3 linked regions of the Lytechinus pictus genome follow. The protein of the gene in region 3 purifies or fractionates together with the protein of the main gene of each other region. This does not show direct contact. Links are inferred from orthologs where the notes say so. Each region holds a gene or a part of one and is shown on either strand. Other genes may lie near its edges.

Region 1 (7,037 bases), on a different chromosome or scaffold from region 3:
GTATTCATTTATAGGGAGGAAGCTGCTGTCGAATTTTATGGTAACAAATTTTCAGACTTGAGTGGTTGTCAACTTCTGTGGTATAACAAATTCATTCGTTCAAAAACTAAACAGTATCTTAATTATCCAATGTGGCATGAGAGAAATGTCTTAATGATGTCAGACTTATTTAATCCCCCTCTTTTAGGCCACAAAATCTTTGAAGAGCTTGTGTTAGATTTTGGAATCCCCCAAACAGACAGAAGGAAATGTAATTTTTTAATTGAGTGCATCCCGGAAGAATGGTTGATGAGTTTTGACCCTGATATTATAGGTGTTCATGAAACAATTGTACATAAATTGTTGAGTTATAAAAAAGTCCCTAGAAATTCATACATTTTATTTAGGGGATCACACACACCTGTCAAAAGATACACTTATTGGGATGAACATTTACCAATACCAGTATCTATCGATTGGGAAAAGGTACATTATACAATTTTTTTTGTACCATTGATACTAAATTAAGATCATTCTATTTTAAGATTTTTCATAAAGCCATAGCATTAAATGATTTTTTATATAAGATTAAATCTAAGGACTCACCCAATTGTGTTTTCTGTGATAAAAGTGAGGTAACAATAGTCCACCTGTTTTGCGAATGTGAAAGGGTAATTCCTATTTGGCAATCCCTTTTAACAAAAATTTCCCAAAATAATGTTCAAATAAATGGTTCTAATTTTGAAAAAATGTTTGGACTCCCAGCTGATAAGTTCATTTCATACCTTTTCTTACTTTTGAAGTATTATATTCATACATGTACATTTAAGAATAATCCTCCAAGTTATGCTCTTTTTAAAAATTTTTTTAAAAAACAACAGGACTTGGAATATTTGATAGCTAAGAAAAAAAATAAGTTGCCCGCTCACTTTAAGAAGTGGCGATTCACCTTATAATTTGGTTTTCAAAAATGTCAACAGGTTACATGATAACTAATAATGTATATTTTGTATAACAGGCTTAGTGCCCCATTTTTTAAAAGTAATACTGCACTGTATTGGTTATATGGTTGTAGACATCAGTTCCCATTTTTTTAATGCAACTTGTATCTCAGTTTCCTTGATATACTTGTTCGTTTAAATACCTCCATATTTATGTCGTCTTGGATAACTAGTTGTGTTTTTTAATCCTATCAATAGTTGTTGGGAAACCATTTTATAATCATAGCTTGTATATTTTGTTTTGTCTACTTTATTTACCAAATCACCTATCTTTGTTTAGATAACACTGATATTAAGTTATCACTTTGCCACATTCCTTTTTTGGGGGGTGGGGGAGGATAAGTGGGTAGGTTTTTTTTTTTATTATTATGGTTATTTTGTCTTTTTTGTATAATTAACTTGTGTTTATGTGATTTGCAATCACCTAATAATCATTTGTAAATTTTGTGATTTATTTCAATTTATAATAAGAACAGAAAAAAAAAAGGAAAAAAATTTGAAATGTTATGTAACTATTTGTTCATGAAATCAGAATAAAAACAGTATTTTAAAAAATGTCAGTGTATACAATTAAAGTAACCAATACTATAATAGCCATAAATGTATGTATGTGTATTTATGCCCCCGCCCATTCTCTACGTGTGAGGGTGGGTGTGTGTGTATGTCAGTGTATACAACAAGTAACCAATAAACATAAATGTATGTATGTGTATGTATATAGCAAGAGAAAAGATATTTCGTCGACTCCGATTAGGTCATATAGGACTAAATGAAGATCTCTGGCGAATGAAAATACACCCAACGGGACAGTGCAATTCATGTCCGGAGAAAGAAACAATTGAACACTACATTGTAAAATGCCCTAAGTATATAATTGAAAGGTCGATGCTTCTTGTCGAGGCAGACATCGCCGATCCCGAGGAAATCCTTAGGCTCCTGAATTCTTGGGACCCAGGTGTCCAAAATGCACTGTTTTTTTTTTTTTTTTTCGTGAACGAAAGAGAGAAATATATCTATTTGATTAGTATGTAATTATTTATTTGTTCATATAGGTACATATGTGTGTATTTGTGTATATATATATGTCATTTATATGAGTATGATGACCACATGAGACGATGGTTATTGTTCTGTTTGTTTTAGAATAAGATGTATCTCTCTTCCCTCTGGGTTATATTCCTTGTATTCAGTAGAGCTCATTATCATTTTGAAAAAAAAAGAAAAAGAGAAAAAAAAAGAAGAGAAAAGAGAAAAAACTGAGAAAGACAAAGGAAATAATAAAGAGAAAATAAAAGGGAAAAGAAAGGAAAAGGAAAGGAAGGAGGAAAAAAGAAAAGAAAAAAAAAGAAGAAAATGGAAGGAAGAGGAGAAGAAATGAAAGGAAAAAGAATAAAGATGAAGAAATTGAAAAAAAAATGTATATGCATGTGTGTGTATATACATATATTTTTTTTTTTTACTAACTCGATCATATCCATCTAACTTACAACCTTGATTTAACAATGCACCATTTCATTTATTAAAGCCCTCATTTTGGATGCCCCCATAAATTTCGAATAATCCGAACCTCCCCATATCAAATTTTATATTTTCTCTTTACAAAACAAAACAGACATACATGTATTTGATTGGTAATTATATGCGAGATCATTTCACGGGAAAAGACTCTTTAACAGTTTATTGCTCTATTTATTTTCCGAGTTTCAAGACTATAGAGTATCCCAAAGGGAGCCCCCCGGGGGGGGCACTCGACCAAAAAAGTGGTAGGGGTGTGCCGCGGGCGAGACAAAAAACGGGGGCCTTGGAGCGGGCTTATTGTAAAAAGGAGGGTCCTCGGAACGGGCTCGGAACTACAAATGTTTGTGAAAACGGGGGTCCTTGGAACGGGTCGCCTGCGTGCGAGTGCGTATGCATCCCTATGGAACGTGCATGCAGCTATAGCCCGGCGGCACGACTGACGGGCGCGCTAGCGCAGAGGCGATGGTCGGGCAGCGAGCTGCGGCCGCTTTTCACCAAAATTGCGACCGGAACGGCGTAACGGAAAATATGCGATGCCCTGGAGCGGATTTTTTTCTTCTTTTTTCTCGAAAAGAAGAAAATGCTATGCTTTGGAGCGGCTTTCTTTGTTCTTTTTCTCAATAAGACAAAAATGCTATGCCTCGGAACGGAAATTTGAGTGTAAAAATGGGGGTCCCCTCCGCGGCACATACCCACTATGCATTATATACTGAGTGCCCCCCCCGGGGGGAGCCCCCTGTCTACACCGGAGAGACAGGACGATGTCTGGACGGTGTCGCTAGAAGGGACGGGATCATGCGGTAACCTGTAAGATACGATAGCCTTTATAATAATAAAAATTATTATTAAAAAACAAAAAACAAAAACAAACAAAGAAAGGAGAGGAACGATTATAAAGGACACGTCAAAGAAAAGAAAGAAAATAATAGTTGACCAAACGAGTTGGCGGTAATAGTCAAATATGACTGGTCGCCATTAATTTCCAACAAACAACAACATATAAATACCCGTTTGCCTTTTTATTTTTTACAATAGCATATTGCGAGCGGGCGAAGCGTGCGAGAAAAAAAAATCAACATTTGCTTGATTTGATTTCACCACAGTGACAATCAAGATAATGATAATGCATAATAGGTTATGGAAAAAATGTAATAATTTTAATTTTCTATCATGAAACCTTGAAGGGTTAACATAAGTTTTGTTATGATATGGAGACAAGAAAAAGCGAAAATGTTTGCTCTTTGTTATTCTCCCCTCCTCTCATTTTCTTCACTTTTCTTCCCCGATTCCTTAAATCCTCTCCTTTAACTTTATGTTATTCTTATCCCGTTTCTCTTCTCTTTCCCCTTTTTTCTCCTTTTTTGAAATCTGTGATGGATTGTCCTCAAACCTTTACCAATTTTTTTTTTTTTTTTTCTGATATTCGATCACTAAAACTTTTCGTCGGGGTGAAATTCCCCCGGAAATTCCCCTCGCCTTTTAATGGGATTTCGCTGAGGTAGTAACTCGGCCAAAATTTTGCAGCTTTAGCCAATTAGCCGCCGAGATGCATGAGAGAGATCGAGAGAATGAAGATTGAAGAAACAGCGAAATAATAATACACCAGCGGGAAATTAGATTGAGCGAATTTGGACAAGTTGTATCCATTCTATTTATGGGTTTGGGAGATATTTTAACATGGTATGTATTATGCATTGGTTGGGAATGATCATACGATTAATGCTTTTCTCGTTTTTGTTTTAAATCTAAGATCAATCAAAAGTTCTGACTCTGAGGTTCATAAAGACATGACAAGACAAGATCAAAGCTTTGGGTGAACTACTTACCCTGGTCCCATTCGTTGTAATTCGCGTAGGCCTAACAAGTTAGTAGTAGACAGCTGGCGCTGGCACAAGTGGCAGCTGCAGCCCACTCTAGGCGACACCCCAATACTTACCCGTGCTAATAAAGTGGGACTCCGCTCACGCGCGTTTGGGCCTCCCTAGCTTAGAACTAAGCAATATTATCTAGAAATCGTTACATTGTAGTAATTAAATATGTTCTATTAAATAAATTGATAATGTTTAATCGGTACTCACCGGTTCTTTTGTTGCATTTTCAGACCATTTCTCACAATTCTTCGTAAATATTTGCGGCAAATTTTGTCGCCATAGACAGCTTAGCATCCATCTTTATTGATAAATGGAGCGCCCTTTACGATTGTTGTTAATGCCGCGGAGAAATCGTTAGGCATTTTGGCCTGTGTTCAAGGCGTTCTTTCTGTTTTATTTTTAAATAGATTGTGCATTTGTTGAATAGCGCCGTCTACGTCAGGTATGAGATCGAGTGTATAAATACACTCTTCCAAAATAATTATGATTCCGACCTGGCGCTGTTTAACTTCAATCTCTTTCACCTAAATTAGCGATGAATGCTAGCATTATAAAATATATATTATTAACGTCTGACGAAAAGAATAACCAACCGATCAGCTGACGAGAACGCGAATCACGTGATCTTCATATCAGCTTCGATCGCGAGTCAGAAGAGAAGAGCAGTTGCCCAGAAAATCAGGAAAAAGCCGTGAAAATGTAAGTTCCCCTTCATTTCTTTCAATTTTTTTTATTGCTAACAATGTATTCAATTAGTGAGATCGAAATGTAATGATTAGACAGTACGATAGCTTGTAGTTTTGATAAAATACAAAAATAATCATCTTCACAAAGATTTCTGACACAAAATACTACTGATGTCGCCTATGAGGTCCATACATGTAATGTTGGACCTCATTGGTACTAGGAGTGCTGCAGCCGTCTGTTTCGAGGAGTTTTTTAAACATTTATATATTTGTTTAAATTCTCCTCGTACACAGATGGCTCGCGATTGTGCAGCCGCCATTAGGGGGTAAATAATGCAAAATCCCCCTGACGGGGCCGGGCTCATCGATTTTTGTCTTTATTTCACAAAAATAATATAGGCCTAGGCAGGCTAGCCTAAAAAGAACTGGACCAAAAAAAAAAGATTATAATTTTATATTAATATTATTAGATCTATTCTGTTTTGGCTTGAAATGCACCAAAAGTGGGAAAAAATAATTTAAAAAAGACAAAACAGTGACTTAATTTGGCTGGGGATCGAAGCAGCAGCTGCGTGTATTTAATATTGGGTCTCCCAGATCCGGATAAATCCCTTATCCGGATTGGTGCTGGAAAATGCATTTTCTCCCTTCGCTGATGGTGGCGTATGATGTGCAAAGAAGTTCATGCCTACGGCTAGGCACTAAGTGCAATTCGCCAGATTTAAAGTGCTTCTATGCTAGTATATAGGGATTATGGCATAAGGCATTATTTTAACTCTGAAAGTCTCTTTTTGTATGTTTTGACATGGAGATCAACAAGAAAATGGTCAAACTTGTGTATTTTGTAAATGAAAAGAGCAACATCTTGTTTGGGTTTTGTTCTTAGCTGGAGGATGTGTCTGAAGTTGATGTCTTTCTAAGGACTTTTCTTTGTATCCCCCCCCCCCCATCGGCTTCATAAAAAGGTTGAATAATTCTTACGAAGAAGGGTTCAACCAAAGACACTGTTCTAAGGCTATTCTAACTTTAAAAGTAAGAGCTGCCACTTAAAAATTTGAATGTATTGAAATGTATAATCATATTTTTTCTTGTACTTATGCCCATATGTAACAACTGATTTGACTGAATTAAGTTCAATATGTATTTTTTTTCTCTCACTTGTTTCAGGACTGATTTTCAACTAACTAGAGGCCGCAGAACAGGAAACTTGTCACTTTGCCTTCACAAACTTTCAAGGCCTTTACATGTACTTTCATGAACTAAGGGACAGACTCACCTCATTTGATGATACTGATAAATTAAGAAATTAACCTGTCAGTTTCGGATCTAAAAAAACAAACCTTGAATTTGAATTTTAAAAGGGGGAAGGGAAAGTTTAAAGGTGTCATGTGCACTTTTACACAAGCACAGATAAAGGATTAAAGTGGGACTTATAGTTCTAGATTGGCTGATGTGCTCCTACTTTCCTAAAGAACATTGGAATATCAAGACTTGAGACTGCACTCTGATGCATATTCCTTGAAGCAAGACAACTCAGATGGTGCTGATTTGAAGAGAAATATTGGCTGTGTACACTCAATCAGAGAGGTCATACTCATAAGACCTTTCATCCAAACAATTGAACAGTGTGGGTATGGATCCGTCTGAAGTGGAGTTCCTGGCAGAGAAGCAGGAGGTCACGATCGTTCCCAACTTCTCCCACGATGAAGTCTTCTTGATAGCGGGCAACGTTGGACCGTTCAATCCTAGTTTACCCATGAAGGTCCCCCTCTGGATGGCTGTCAATCTGAAACAGAGACAGAAGTGCCGGATCCAACCACCAGATTGGATGAATGTCGGTAAGTTATTCATGGTTGGTGATAGGAGGATGGAATGGTTGGGAGAGGGACAGTGAAATGAATTGAATGGAATATGTGTTTGTGCAGGGAGGGGGGGGGGGTGAGGTGGTTTATGTAGCTAGTTATTACAATTATATTTATCAG
Region 2 (7,219 bases), on a different chromosome or scaffold from region 3:
CGCGATGCCAACGATGTGTATATTTTCGTAGTACGTGTAGGCCAACACAGTCCGCGATGGTAGCGGTGTGTTGGTGTCTGTAGTCGGTACAGGCCAACACTGCCCTCGATGCCAACGATCTATATCTGTGTTCTGTAGTATGTAGACCAACAGTGTCCGCGATGCCAACGATGTGTATATTTCCGTAGTATGTGTAGACCAACATTGCCCGCGATGCCAACGATGTGTTGGTGTCTGTAGTACAGGCCAACATTGCCCTCGATGCCAACGATGCGATCATATCTGTAGTTGCCTATGTAAACCAACATTGCCCACCATGGCAACGATGTGTTGGTGTCTGTAGTACATGCCAACAGTGCCCGTGATGCCAACGATGCGATCATATCTGTAGTTTCCTATGTAGACCAACATTGCCCGCGATGCCAACGATGTGTTGGTGTCTGTACTGTAGAGTACAGGCTAACATTGCCCTCGATGCCAACGATGTGAATGTATCTTTAGTAGGTATAGGCCAACAGCGCCCGCGATGCCAACGATGTGTTGGTGCCTGTAGTAGATGCCAACAGTGCCAACGATGCCAACAATGTAAATGTATCTTTAGTACGTATAGGCCAACAGCGCCGGCCAGGATGCCAACGATGTGTTGGTGTCTGTAGTATAGGCCAACCTTGCCCGCGATGCCAACGATGTGAATGTATCTTTTGTATGTATAGGCCAACAGCGCCCGCGATGCCAACGATGTGTTGGTGCCTGTAGTAGATGCCAACAGTGCCAACGATGCCAACAATGTAAATGTATCTTTAGTACGTATAGGCCAACAGCGCCGGCCAGGATGCCAACGATGTGTTGGTGTCTGTAGTACAGGCCAACCTTGCCATCGATGCCAACGATGTGAATGTATCTTTAGTAAGTATAGGCCAACTTTGCCGGCGATGCCAACGATGTGAACGTATGTTTAGTATGTATATACCAACAGCGCCCGCGATGCCAACGATGTGTTGGTGCCTGTAGTAGATGCCAACAGTGCCAACGATGTGAATGTATCTTACATAGGCCAACATTGCCGGCGATGCCAACGATGTGAATATGCCTGTAGTAGAGGCCAACATTGCCGGCGATGCCAACGATGTGAATATGCCTGTAGTAGAGGCCAACATTGCCGGCGATGCCAACGATGTGAATGTATCTTTAGTAAGTATAGGCCAACTTTGCCGGCGATGCCAACGATGTGAATGTATGTTTAGTATGTATATACCAACAGCGCCCGCGATGCCAACGATGTGTTGGTGCCTGTAGTAGATGCCAACAGTGCCAACGATGTGAATGTATCTTACATAGGCCAACATTGCCGGCGATGCCAACGATGTGAATATGCCTGTTGTAGAGGCCAACATTGCCGGCGATGCCAACGATGTGAATATAACCCTAACCCTAACCCTAACCCTAACCCTAACCCTAACCCTAAACCCTAACCCTAACCCTAAACCCTAACCCTAACCCTAACCCTAACCCTAACCCTAACCCTAAACCCTAACCCTAACCCTAACCCTAACCCTAACCCTAAACCCTAACCCCTAACCCTAACCCTAAACCCTAACCCTAACCCTAACCCTAACCCTAAACCCTAACCCTAACCCTAACCCTAACCCTAACCCTAACCCTAACCCTAATTGAATTCAATTCCCATTGAATTCCTTCAATGGGAATTAAAACTTTATTTCATATTTTAATGAAGAAAAAATGAAAATATTTCATGTATAAAAAATACAAAAGAAATAGAGAGTGAATGACATCGATCACCTCACTAACCAGGATATGCATATATTAAACTGTTTTGTGAAACCATACTTTGAAACGCTTGCCAACGATGTTTTGAATGTTGCATTGCACGGTCACATCGTTGGTCGTTGGCTAGCGGCGCACCCAACGATGTATAGCAATAGCTAGTAGTAGTAGGTAATTTAAAAGAGTGTATTAATCTTGTACTATTGCACCTTCACATCGTGGGTCGTTGGTTAGCCAACGATGTTTTAAATGTTACATGGCACCGTCACATCGTTGGTCGTTGGCTAGCGATGTTTTGAATATTATATTGCACCGTCCGTACCGTCACAACGTGGGTCGTTGGCTAGCAGCGCACCCAACGATGTTTAATTATAGCTCTAGTAGTAGTCAAAGGGCAAAGGTCATTACGTATGGCCTGGATGCATTGCTCGTACGTACCGTCATACGTACGTACGTACGTAGTATAGTAGTAGTAGTAGTACCAGTAATGCATGTACGTATATAATAGTATGGATATATCTAGGCTATATACCATTGAATTAGTATATAGCTATAGGTCTTGACATCGTTGTGTTGGCTGACCAACGATTGGGTAGTGAGCAGTGTCGGGGTATTCTGCAGTTAAGCCAAAAACAGTTTTAAATCGCGATCTATAAAACGCTAGTTCACTATACGTTGGCTGTAGGTACGGGGCCCCATCCCCTTCAGTCTATGTATGGTGAGTGGAGCCAACGTAGTTCAGCGGAACAACCAAAATACAGAGACTGAAGCTTTTGGTCTAGTATGTGAGTGACTGTGACTGAAAAAATAACACTGCAAAAAAAAATAACTCTTACTCTTAGACTTAGTAACAAACATCGATTTGAGCGGGTGGGACCGTACTTGGAAAGACGGCGATGAAATTAAATACAAACGAATAGAATTCATATCAAGTTCACACAATGAAAACACAGTAGAAAATACTTACATGATGTAGAATAACGTCATAGAATTGTGTTTTAATGTCTGTAATGAACATAATGTTGCTGACTTGGAAGTAAATATAATAAATCTGATGACAATAGGCTCCAATACTATTTCATTTTTCCCGCGGATGAGGGTCAAAAGGTAATATGCTGAAGTTAGAAGTAATTTCGGCACGGGGATACTTTATAAAATTGCCAATTTAAAAATTTAGAAGAAACGAAATGTATTCTGTACTTAGAAGAGGTATTGATCTTGATGTAACTCATATGCAGTGGCGTAGCTATACATACGGCGCGGGCGGGGGGGGGGGGGGGGGGGCAGGTGGGCACGTGCCCCCCCCCCCCCTGAAAAAAATTGGCTGAGCAAAAAAAGGAGAGAAAGAACGAAAAAAAGAAGGGAAAGATAGAAGAAAAAAGAGGGGGAAATGAAGAGGAGGGAGACAAGTGAATAAAAAAGGTGAGGGGAAGACTTTAAAAAAAAATTCATGTCACGATATAAAATTTTCATTCACGTTCTCCTTGTCTGACGTTCGATGAGATTCATATCTTGCTCAATATAGGTTAATATGGAGCTTAACGTATTAATTAATTTAATTTTTAAACACTTTAAACGATATAGATGAAAAAGGCATGAAAAATATACTTTACCGATGTTTAATTGGGTTGAACACGATAAAAATGGTCAAAATGGCAGCCAAACTATAAAATATTTACAAACGAACGTCAACAATCACGAATGTGATATCGATATTGCTTTCGATATTATACGATCTGCTCCATATGCGAACGAAACCGAAGATAAACGATACTAGTTATACTAGTACTAGTACTAGTTATAATCGCGATATATCGATTCGAGACATTAAGTTAATAACGATAATGACGTCATTCAAGATGGCAACTTGCAAGAAAAACCGTCAGGTCAGGTGAAAATGTCTTAGATGACAGATTTCTCAATCATCCAGAGGATTTTTTTCAATAACTCCGGCCCAAGGTATGCAATTACTAATTATTATTTATATTTCCCTGATAATGGAAACCATGAAACTTTCAATTTTGCTTAAAAAACAGGGAACAACTGCAGAATACCCGGACACTGCGTTACCTTATCGTTGGAGAGCCAACGCACAACGATGTACTTAAGCTATCAAATCAGAAAATCAGCTATAATAAATAATTGAATGATTTACAACTTACAAGTATTTTTTGAATAGATTCTAAGTGTTCAGACTGCACTGTAACGCTAACGATGCGAGCGCGCGCGATTAGTATGTAGACCAACAGTGTCCACGATGCCAACGATGTGTATATTTTCGTAGTACGTGTAGGCCAACACAGTCCGCGATGCTAGCGGTGCGTTGGTGTCCGTAGTACAGGCCAACACTGCCCGCGATGCCAACGATCTATATATATATCTGTGTGCATCTGTAGTATGTAGGCCGACATTGCCCGCGATGCCAACGATGTGTATATTTTCGTAGTACGTGTAGGCCAACACAGTCCGCGATGGTAGCGGTGTGTTGGTGTCTGTAGTCGGTACAGGCCAACACTGCCCTCGATGCCAACGATCTATATCTGTGTTCTGTAGTATGTAGACCAACAGTGTCCGCGATGCCAACGATGTGTATATTTCCGTAGTATGTGTAGACCAACATTGCCCGCGATGCCAACGATGTGTTGGTGTCTGTAGTACAGGCCAACATTGCCCTCGATGCCAACGATGCGATCATATCTGTAGTTGCCTATGTAAACCAACATTGCCCACCATGGCAACGATGTGTTGGTGTCTGTAGTACATGCCAACAGTGCCCGTGATGCCAACGATGCGATCATATCTGTAGTTTCCTATGTAGACCAACATTGCCCGCGATGCCAACGATGTGTTGGTGTCTGTACTGTAGAGTACAGGCTAACATTGCCCTCGATGCCAACGATGTGAATGTATCTTTAGTAGGTATAGGCCAACAGCGCCCGCGATGCCAACGATGTGTTGGTGCCTGTAGTAGATGCCAACAGTGCCAACGATGCCAACAATGTAAATGTATCTTTAGTACGTATAGGCCAACAGCGCCGGCCAGGATGCCAACGATGTGTTGGTGTCTGTAGTATAGGCCAACCTTGCCCGCGATGCCAACGATGTGAATGTATCTTTTGTATGTATAGGCCAACAGCGCCCGCGATGCCAACGATGTGTTGGTGCCTGTAGTAGATGCCAACAGTGCCAACGATGCCAACAATGTAAATGTATCTTTAGTACGTATAGGCCAACAGCGCCGGCCAGGATGCCAACGATGTGTTGGTGTCTGTAGTACAGGCCAACCTTGCCATTGATGCCAACGATGTGAATGTATCTTTAGTAAGTATAGGCCAACTTTGCCGGCGATGCCAACGATGTGAACGTATGTTTAGTATGTATATACCAACAGCGCCCGCGATGCCAACGATGTGTTGGTGCCTGTAGTAGATGCCAACAGTGCCAACGATGTGAATGTATCTTACATAGGCCAACATTGCCGGCGATGCCAACGATGTGAATATGCCTGTAGTAGAGGCCAACATTGCCGGCGATGCCAACGATGTGAATATGCCTGTAGTAGAGGCCAACATTGCCGGCGATGCCAACGATGTGAATGTATCTTTAGTAAGTATAGGCCAACTTTGCCGGCGATGCCAACGATGTGAATGTATGTTTAGTATGTATATACCAACAGCGCCCGCGATGCCAACGATGTGTTGGTGCCTGTAGTAGATGCCAACAGTGCCAACGATGTGAATGTATCTTACATAGGCCAACATTGCCGGCGATGCCAACGATGTGAATATGCCTGTTGTAGAGGCCAACATTGCCGGCGATGCCAACGATGTGAATATAACCCTAACCCTAACCCTAACCCTAACCCTAACCCTAACCCTAAACCCTAACCCTAACCCTAAACCCTAACCCTAACCCTAACCCTAACCCTAACCCTAACCCTAAACCCTAACCCTAACCCTAACCCTAACCCTAACCCTAAACCCTAACCCTAACCCTAAACCCTAACCCTAACCCTAACCCTAACCCTAACCCTAAACCCTAACCCTAACCCTAACCCTAACCCTAACCCTAACCCTAATTGAATTCAATTCCCATTGAATTCCTTCAATGGGAATTAAAACTTTATTTCATATTTTAATGAAGAAAAAATGAAAATATTTCATGTATAAAAAATACAAAAGAAATAGAGAGTGAATGACATCGATCACCTCACTAACCAGGATATGCATATATTAAACTGTTTTGTGAAACCATACTTTGAAACGCTTGCCAACGATGTTTTGAATGTTGCATTGCACGGTCACATCGTTGGTCGTTGGCTAGCGGCGCACCCAACGATGTATAGCAATAGCTAGTAGTAGTAGGTAATTTAAAAGAGTGTATTAATCTTGTACTATTGCACCTTCACATCGTGGGTCGTTGGTTAGCCAACGATGTTTTAAATGTTACATGGCACCGTCACATCGTTGGTCGTTGGCTAGCGATGTTTTGAATATTATATTGCACCGTCCGTACCGTCACAACGTGGGTCGTTGGCTAGCAGCGCACCCAACGATGTTTAATTATAGCTCTAGTAGTAGTCAAAGGGCAAAGGTCATTACGTATGGCCTGGATGCATTGCTCGTACGTACCGTCATACGTACGTACGTACGTAGTATAGTAGTAGTAGTAGTACCAGTAATGCATGTACGTATATAATAGTATGGATATATCTAGGCTATATACCATTGAATTAGTATATAGCTATAGGTCTTGACATCGTTGTGTTGGCTGACCAACGATTGGGTAGTGAGCAGTGTCGGGGTATTCTGCAGTTAAGCCAAAAACAGTTTTAAATCGCGATCTATAAAACGCTAGTTCACTATACGTTGGCTGTAGGTACGGGGCCCCATCCCCTTCAGTCTATGTATGGTGAGTGGAGCCAACGTAGTTCAGCGGAACAACCAAAATACAGAGACTGAAGCTTTTGGTCTAGTATGTGAGTGACTGTGACTGAAAAAATAACACTGCAAAAAAAAATAACTCTTACTCTTAGACTTAGTAACAAACATCGATTTGAGCGGGTGGGACCGTACTTGGAAAGACGGCGATGAAATTAAATACAAACGAATAGAATTCATATCAAGTTCACACAATGAAAACACAGTAGAAAATACTTACATGATGTAGAATAACGTCATAGAATTGTGTTTTAATGTCTGTAATGAACATAATGTTGCTGACTTGGAAGTAAATATAATAAATCTGATGACAATAGGCTCCAATACTATTTCATTTTTCCCGCGGATGAGGGTCAAAAGGTAATATGCTGAAGTTAGAAGTAATTTCGGCACGGGGATACTTTATAAAATTGCCAATTTAAAAATTTAGAAGAAACGAAATGTATTCTGTACTTAGAAGAGGTATTGATCTTGATGTAACTCATATGCAGTGG
Region 3 (7,404 bases):
AGATAAAGGAAATGCAGTAGTCCGTGATACTATTGAATATTACAATTCATTTTCCAAAATGATGGCAATTATGTAAGTAGAGGGTTCTGTGCAGATTTGTCTGTCATAGCGGCCACCTTTCATCATGGCATTTTGTATATTCTCATAAATTATGATTATTAAACGCTCTATGACGAGGGAATTTACTGCAATTTTTTCAGATCATTTTATACTGCACGCAATTTTATATTGGATAATTTGTTTGAATTTACAAGTGTTGCCCGTGTATAAAGGGGAATGTGTAAAGGCCGAATGTGATGTATTTTGTCCATTTTAATTTATTTCAAAAAGAAGAAAATGAATTGGTTTATTTCAGTTTTAGAATTGTGAACAGAATATCAATATGGTAGCATTTTTTGGTGTGATCATGTATTATGTATTTATCCATATATGGATTTGTAATTTTGATGTAGATTTTGTCCAAAAGAAAGATAACTAGCACAGGAAATGTTCCCTATTATGAAAAAAGTGTACATTTGTACAGTAGCAAGTGTAAATTTCAGAGAACACTTTATTTGTTTTATTTCTGTACAAATGTTTATGTTTTACATCCCTCCTCATGTACACAAAATTGTGAAATAGAATTGGCCCTCTATATATGTTGTACTTTTCTGAATGATATTTGTGTATTGGTCCGAAGTCGAGTGTATTCATCCGTTTGTAAAGTAGATGATTGTAAACTTTTTTTGTCCTAAGGTACAAGCTTTTTGAGATTGTTTAATTGAAAGCAAACAAAACTGTGGAAACAAATAAAATAAGTCATTTGTAGAAAACCAGCTTTCCAAGTATACATCGTTATGATTGTTACTTCAAGTTGGTATGTAAGGTTTCTTTTGGGATAAAAAAAAAAGCAGATTGCAGATTTTTATTACTGATTTCTTTGTTCTTGTCAAATAAACAAAAATGAAAATTAGACACAAGAAGTTAGCATCCAAGGGGGAAAATGTCTGAAAGTGAGCTTTACAAAAATGGTTGGTTGACTTGCTATGAAAGTTTCTAGCTGTCAATTATAAAATGTCTTGAAGGAATCAAACCATATACCATTGATGTTGAAAAAATAGTAGTTGATAAATTCTCATGGAAATTTGTTCATTTGTATAGATTTAGTCAATTTCTTTCTTGGATATTCTGAATTTACAATCTTGATTTATTATTCTCTTTCCCTTCATCAATGTTTGGTCAAGCCATATCGTGTGCATGTCATTTTGTGTAAAATTGCCTGCATGAAAAATAGAAATGTCTTGTTTTAAATATTTTTATGTGAATATCTCTTTTTCATGGATTTTTATTATTCTATCATTGCATATTATCACTATTTTTTGGTGCGCCTGCCTATTGAATGGTGATTGTAAAAAAAAATTGTTTGTGCATAGTACATTGTCAATTGTTGATTTTTGTTTCTTAACTTGACTGAATTGGTGAATGGGAAAGTGATTAGCAGTATTATTAAGTCACCCCAACCAGTAGGTAGGCACTTCAGATTGGAGTGTATCTTATATAAGCTGTACACATTGTAAAGCGAGGAACATACTCATTTTTTTCTTTCTCTTTGTACAACATGTAAGAAAAGTAATAAAAGAGTGTGTTAAAAAAATCATCTGAACATGACTTGTGTCTGTATTTAATTTCTTGGCATGTTGTAGATTGCAGAAGCAATATGGAGCAATTGCCAGGACCCTGTTCCATAAATATAGGTATTATGATAATTTTGCCATCTAATGGTAACTCTGTTTGAATTCTTGATTCTTATTGGCTGTTGGGTATTGTTGCCATGGTAGTTACAATAAGCCAGTTCACGGTTAGCTCATGATCAACTTTTTTCAAATGACCTTTGTGATTTTTCATTAGGATAAGCACTATCATTTTCAAATGTAGATGCTGCGTAAGCTTTACTGGTAGAGTATTCAAATTCTAAGAACAAAAGGCATTATATAGACCAGGTGACTAGAATAGTACATCAGGGATAAAGTTTGGAAATCTGTTTTATTGTCTGCCTTTGGTACATTTGACTATTGTGTAGGCTACTGTCAAATACCAGTGATTATGAAGGCTCTATTTATTACTCTTCAGCTTGGATGTGATAAATATTTTGAAAGGAATATATGAATAATTTGAAACAGAGGGTCGTGTGTTTGAATCGTAGCCATGGCGTATTTTCCTTCAGCAAGAAATTTATCCACACTGTGCTGCACTCGACCCAGGTGAGGTGAATGGGTACCCGGCAGGAGTAATTCCTTGCATGCACTGAGCGCCGGTGATGGTAGCTCGAGCTAAAGCCGGGGTAATAATAGCAGTGCTTTGTATCCTCTGGCAAAAAGCGCTTTATAAATCCAACTATTATTATTATTATTATTATTAATCATCAAATAATGCCTATGTCAGTGAATTTGAAAGCCACCTTCATGGTTGTCTCCAATGACCTTTTTCTGCTCGTGCGCAGTTTACAACCGTGAACAGGCTTATTGGATGGCAGAGTTCCCATCGTGCAATGTGACCCAGTAGTGTGTGTTTCACCATGAACCTATTAACATTTAAAGTGATTGGCCCGTATTCTGAAGTCGGGTTTAACTCAAACTCAGGTTTAAAGTTGTGGTTTAAGTATGGATAGCCAATTGCTAAATAAATCGCTAAGAGTAGAGATATCATATTCCAGCTCATTTGGCTGTCAAATCATTCATAATTGTCTAGGAAATATAAATAGATGATTGTCTTCACCATTGAAGAATAAGGAAAGAGCACAGTAAATATAAGATGCATACAACTTAATAAAAATTTTGACACTTTTGGCTTCCCATAATTTTAGCAGAGTTAGACCATGGTCTAAGTTAAACCTGACTTCAGAATACTGGCCATTCTGTCTATGATTGAATGAGACGTCCCACTTACCTTGCATCTTAATGAGAACCTTCAATTAAAATTATCCTTGTAATTTAAAGGGAAAGTTAACCCTGGCAAAAGTTTATTGAGAAATTAGCAGAAAAGTAATATTGGTGAATGTTTAAGGAAAATCCATCAAAGATCAAAAAACTTATTTGAAGTTAGGATTTTATTGATTTGTGACATCATATGCAAGCAATTTCCCATGTGTAGTGAATTAAAACTAACAAAATATCATTTTCTCAAAAATTCAAAAATTGTTTTTTTTTTATTGTACCTTCAGTATATCCACTGACAAGTAATTTCACTCAATCTCCTGCAAGAAAAATGTTAGTCATCATGGACCATGAAAAAAATTGAAATTCATGTATTTTATATTACATAATTTTCTTGATCTTTGATTGATTTTCCCCAAACCTTCACCAATATCTTCTTATTTTTTATGGTATTTTACAACAAGCTTTTTGTCAGGGTGAACTTCCCCCTTCAGGAGCACTTCTTTCCATCGGGAGCTCTTTATAGCAGAAACTACAAATTCAAGAAAAAAATCCCAAAACGATTATTTTTTAAAGTTATTATTATGGATTCAAATATGCAAATTTATCCACAAAAACATTATTTGCATATTTTCAGTTAAATTCCATCAATTCAAGTTTTATTTCACATCTCATAAAAAACTTTTAAATAACACGTACAATGCATTGTATACATACACATTCATATGAATACACATGATAAATAGAAAAAAATCATTAAAAACAAATCTAAAAGCAAATAAAAGATGGAAATGTAATATATATATAATACAGGAGACATAAAAAGATAAAGAGTGAATAACATTACATAGCAGATATATATAGTGGATGGTAGATATATAGTGGATGTGGGGGATCCGCAATAAACGATTGGCTTGTCTAAGGCGATCCCTTGTATTCTGAAACAAAACAGATTAAAATGAATTAGAATATAAGCAAGTCAGAAAAGGAGAGCGCATAGACTCTAGTCTACACCATAAGAGAAAAAATATAATAGGGGGTTAACATGCAAGGAATTTACATATTTTCTTTTTACGTTTCTGAAAAATCATGTGAAACTTTGAGGGGGTCATCGTGCCCCCCCCCCCCCCCCCACACACACATGCCTCATTATTTGTAAAAGTCTATACGGGTGCAATTTTCTTATGATTTTTTTTCATGTAAAAGTCTGTCATTGACATTGAATGGAATTGCTAATAATATAGGTTTATTATATATACACATGACATATTTTTTTTGCATAAATCGCCCATTTCAATCAGTGTACGTGTGTGGCCTATGATATAAAGGCCGAGTATTAGCTGGTACTGCTGGTATGTAATAATTCTAGAAATTTCATTTTATTTCATCATGATACAAAGGAGTCTGTGGACTGTAGACTAGTCTATTCAGATAGCCAATCAGTGAACTAGAATTAGTTAAAGGTCCCGCGGGTTGATCAATCACATGTTGATCGTGGCGCGAAAATTGTGTGCGATGCACGTTCGTGTGTTTTGTGCATAAAGATCGGGCATTTAAACTGCATGTACACTGCACTGGCGCAGATATTCTTTGTTTACATGCATGAAAAGTGTGGACTTCTTCTAGTTTCTGTCACATTTCCTTCAGTTAAAAAGAAACTTCCGAGCTAAATCATGGATACCGACATTGATCAACAGTTGAGAGATTACCAGCGTGAATATCTAGAATTTCTGGACGATGATGTAAGTTTGAATGATTAATTTTGTTGCCTGTTGGCTGTTGGACGTTTTTGTTTTCTCTTGTTGTCTGTTGATGGAAGTAACAACAGTTAAAAGTTGCATGAAATTGAATGAAAATTTGAATTTGATTTTGAAACTTGATGTCGTTAAGGTACGCGAGAATAATTTTAGAAAAATATTAATATTCACGTCTTAGATCTAGGCCTAATTAAAGCTCACCTGCCCACAATTATAAGTTAGAGTTTTCTTTCTTCTAACTTCTAACTAACGTTAATAATAATAAGTCTAACGCGTTGCCATAATAATCAACACTTTGATTGTGGGCATCAACGGAAAGACAAGACAAGTTGGATCTGTTTCTAATTATTTATAGTTACGTTCATGAGTCATTAACCGTTTTTTTTTAACGGAAGCTTATTAGGCCTAGGCCTATATATTTTTTTTCTAGCATTAAAGATAAATCTATTGACATCATCATGATCTAATTTTCTAATCTAGGCCCTAGAATAGATCTAGATTAAATTAAATTTAAAGATCAAGTCCACCCCAGAAAAAAATTTGATTTTAATCAATAACATTAGAGAAAAATCAAACAATAACGTTGAATATTTCATCAAAATCGGATGTAAAATAGGAAAGATATGAGTTAAAGTTTCGCTTATTTTTCACAAAGCAGTTAACTGAGTTATATTCACAACTCAGTCTCATGCAGCAACATGCAAATGAGATCTGGGGGGCGTTTCATGAAAGGACTTGTCGGACGTTTTATCCGACAAGTCCCATTTTATCCGACAGTTACCATATAGGAACAGTGCCTCTCAGCCAATCAAAATCATGGAAAGATGTCAGATCTGACAACTTGTCGGATGAAAATATTGATGAAACGCTCCCCTGGATGTATATGGTGGCCCTCCAGTCCTGGGCATAAATGCATCAGGTACTTGACCTCATTGGTGGCGGAGCAGAGGATTATATTTTGTGTTTGGGGGGGGGGAGGGGACGCGTATTGTTGCGTCCCCCCAAACACAGAAGATAATCCTTTGCTCCGCCGCCAATGCTTGACCTGGATTTTACCGGGACCGCGGCAGAGAGTCAATGATGTCCCTCACTCACTATTTCTTTTGTTTTTTGTTTGAATTATACAATATTTCAATTTTTACAGATTTGACAATAAGGACCAGCTTTACTGAACCATAAAAGTTAGAAACAATTTAATTCCTCGTGTTCATGGAGGAAGAAAACCTATTTTACCTTCCAATGAGGAGAAAATTAAAATATTTCATATAAGAGAATACAAAAGAAATAGTGACGAGTGAGTGACGTCATCAGTCCCCTCATTTGTATACCAACCAGGATGTGCATATAGCTGTTTTGTGAAATTAGCAAAACTTCAAAATGTCATAACTTTCCTATTTTGCATCCGATTTTGATGAAATTTCAGTGTTATATGCTTCTTGGATTTTCTCTATTTGTTTAAAACAACTTTTTGTTGGGGTGAACTTGTCCTTTAGTTTAAGTTAGATCGAACGTTAGGCCTAATGTAGGCCTGCCCTTGGCTTGGGTGTGTTCAATGCAATGTTGGTTTCCAAATTTAAACCTTAGCTATTCTACCAACGTTGGGCCTAACTTAACTTGAATCATGAATGATTGTAAACATGGAAACAAAAAAGGGTGTGCATTAAAAAAATGTCCTCCATTCTCATTCATCTATATAAGTTACTATAGTATGTAGATCTAGACTAAAGTCTAGATCTAGATCGATCTAACAAAAAAAGTTAGATCTAGATCTAAATTTAATAAATGTCTTTCAAATCATGTTTCAGAGGAAAATTTAATTAAACATTGAAAAAGATGCGTTGGTAAACTCTATCAGCTCAGATTTTACAACCTTCAGCATCGCGATCGAATGTGCAACTCTGAACATGATTGAGCTTTCAAACTCTAAATTTGCTCTCGCAGTGCAGTCAAAACCTAGCTGCTCGAGCAGGTGCCAGCTAGAATTGACCTGATTTCTAATTGTGACTGATGAGTCAAACTACACACTAAAGTTAAACTGTGCTATAAGTATAACGAAATGAAAGCGGGAAATTTAAAGGTGATCAACAAATAAGCTTTATATTTTCGACACTGAACATTGCACCGCTGATCGTGTTCTGTGTTTTGTAATTCAACAAGATTTGTTGCTATTTAAATTTAAAAATCGACATTGAACACACTGACCATATGCAATTAAAAGGCCAATTTGACTGATTTCAAAAGTGGTCAGTGGCAAGGGTGGATCCAGGATTTTCCAAAAGGGGGAGGCACATTTTCCCTGAGGAAAATTTGACCCCCCCAAAAAAGTTTCTCCCAAGTTTTAAGGTCATTTCGTCCACAAACAAAATTTGACAAGAAAAAAAAGAGTAAAAAGGGGGTGAGGGCACATTAGAGTTATAAAGTTATAGAGGTATATGTACATTACAAATTTTGATTGTGCCCCTCGAAAGGGGGGGGGGGACAAGGGCCGACTGTGCCGCCCCCCCCCCCCCCCTGATCCACAAGTGGTCAGTGGGTTGAACATTTATCATTAGTTGTAATGTGTTTAGATCTGACTTATCAAAGTTTGGTGGCTTATAAATTAGCCTTTGAAACCAAAAATGACATAACAAATACTTCGCATGTTACCCTAGGCCTAGATGTACTGTATGTTAGAATTATTATAGGGGTCTAGAATAATTGGTGAGAAAAAAGAGAAATCAACTTCATCTACCAGA

Evidence for each region.
Region 1: the proteins of zygotic DNA replication licensing factor mcm3-like (region 3) and DNA replication complex GINS protein PSF2-like purify together in Drosophila melanogaster (affinity purification with western blotting; 3 studies listed by BioGRID, with this or other methods). This does not show direct contact. The link is inferred for Lytechinus pictus from reciprocal best matches to the Drosophila melanogaster genes Mcm3 and Psf2.
Region 2: the proteins of zygotic DNA replication licensing factor mcm3-like (region 3) and cell division control protein 45 homolog purify together in Drosophila melanogaster (affinity purification with western blotting; 5 studies listed by BioGRID, with this or other methods). This does not show direct contact. The link is inferred for Lytechinus pictus from reciprocal best matches to the Drosophila melanogaster genes Mcm3 and Cdc45.

The regions. Positions count from the first base shown.
Region 1 is NC_087246.1:48,469,828-48,476,864, reverse strand, and holds the start of DNA replication complex GINS protein PSF2-like, read left to right. Parts: upstream 1-3,923; 5' UTR 3,924-4,178; intron 4,179-4,902; exon of another isoform or gene 4,903-5,068; intron 5,069-6,222; 5' UTR 6,223-6,688; coding exon 6,689-6,893; intron 6,894-7,037. UniProt on the Drosophila melanogaster protein: The GINS complex plays an essential role in the initiation of DNA replication.
Region 2 is NC_087246.1:10,233,079-10,240,297, forward strand, and holds the start of cell division control protein 45 homolog, read right to left. Parts: upstream 3,036-7,219; 5' UTR 2,804-3,035; coding exon 2,753-2,803; intron 1-2,752.
Region 3 is NC_087245.1:38,186,927-38,194,330, reverse strand, and holds the start of zygotic DNA replication licensing factor mcm3-like, read left to right. Parts: upstream 1-4,391; 5' UTR 4,392-4,585; coding exon 4,586-4,654; intron 4,655-7,404. UniProt on the Drosophila melanogaster protein: Acts as a component of the Mcm2-7 complex (Mcm complex) (Mcm complex) which is the putative replicative helicase essential for 'once per cell cycle' DNA replication initiation and elongation in eukaryotic cells.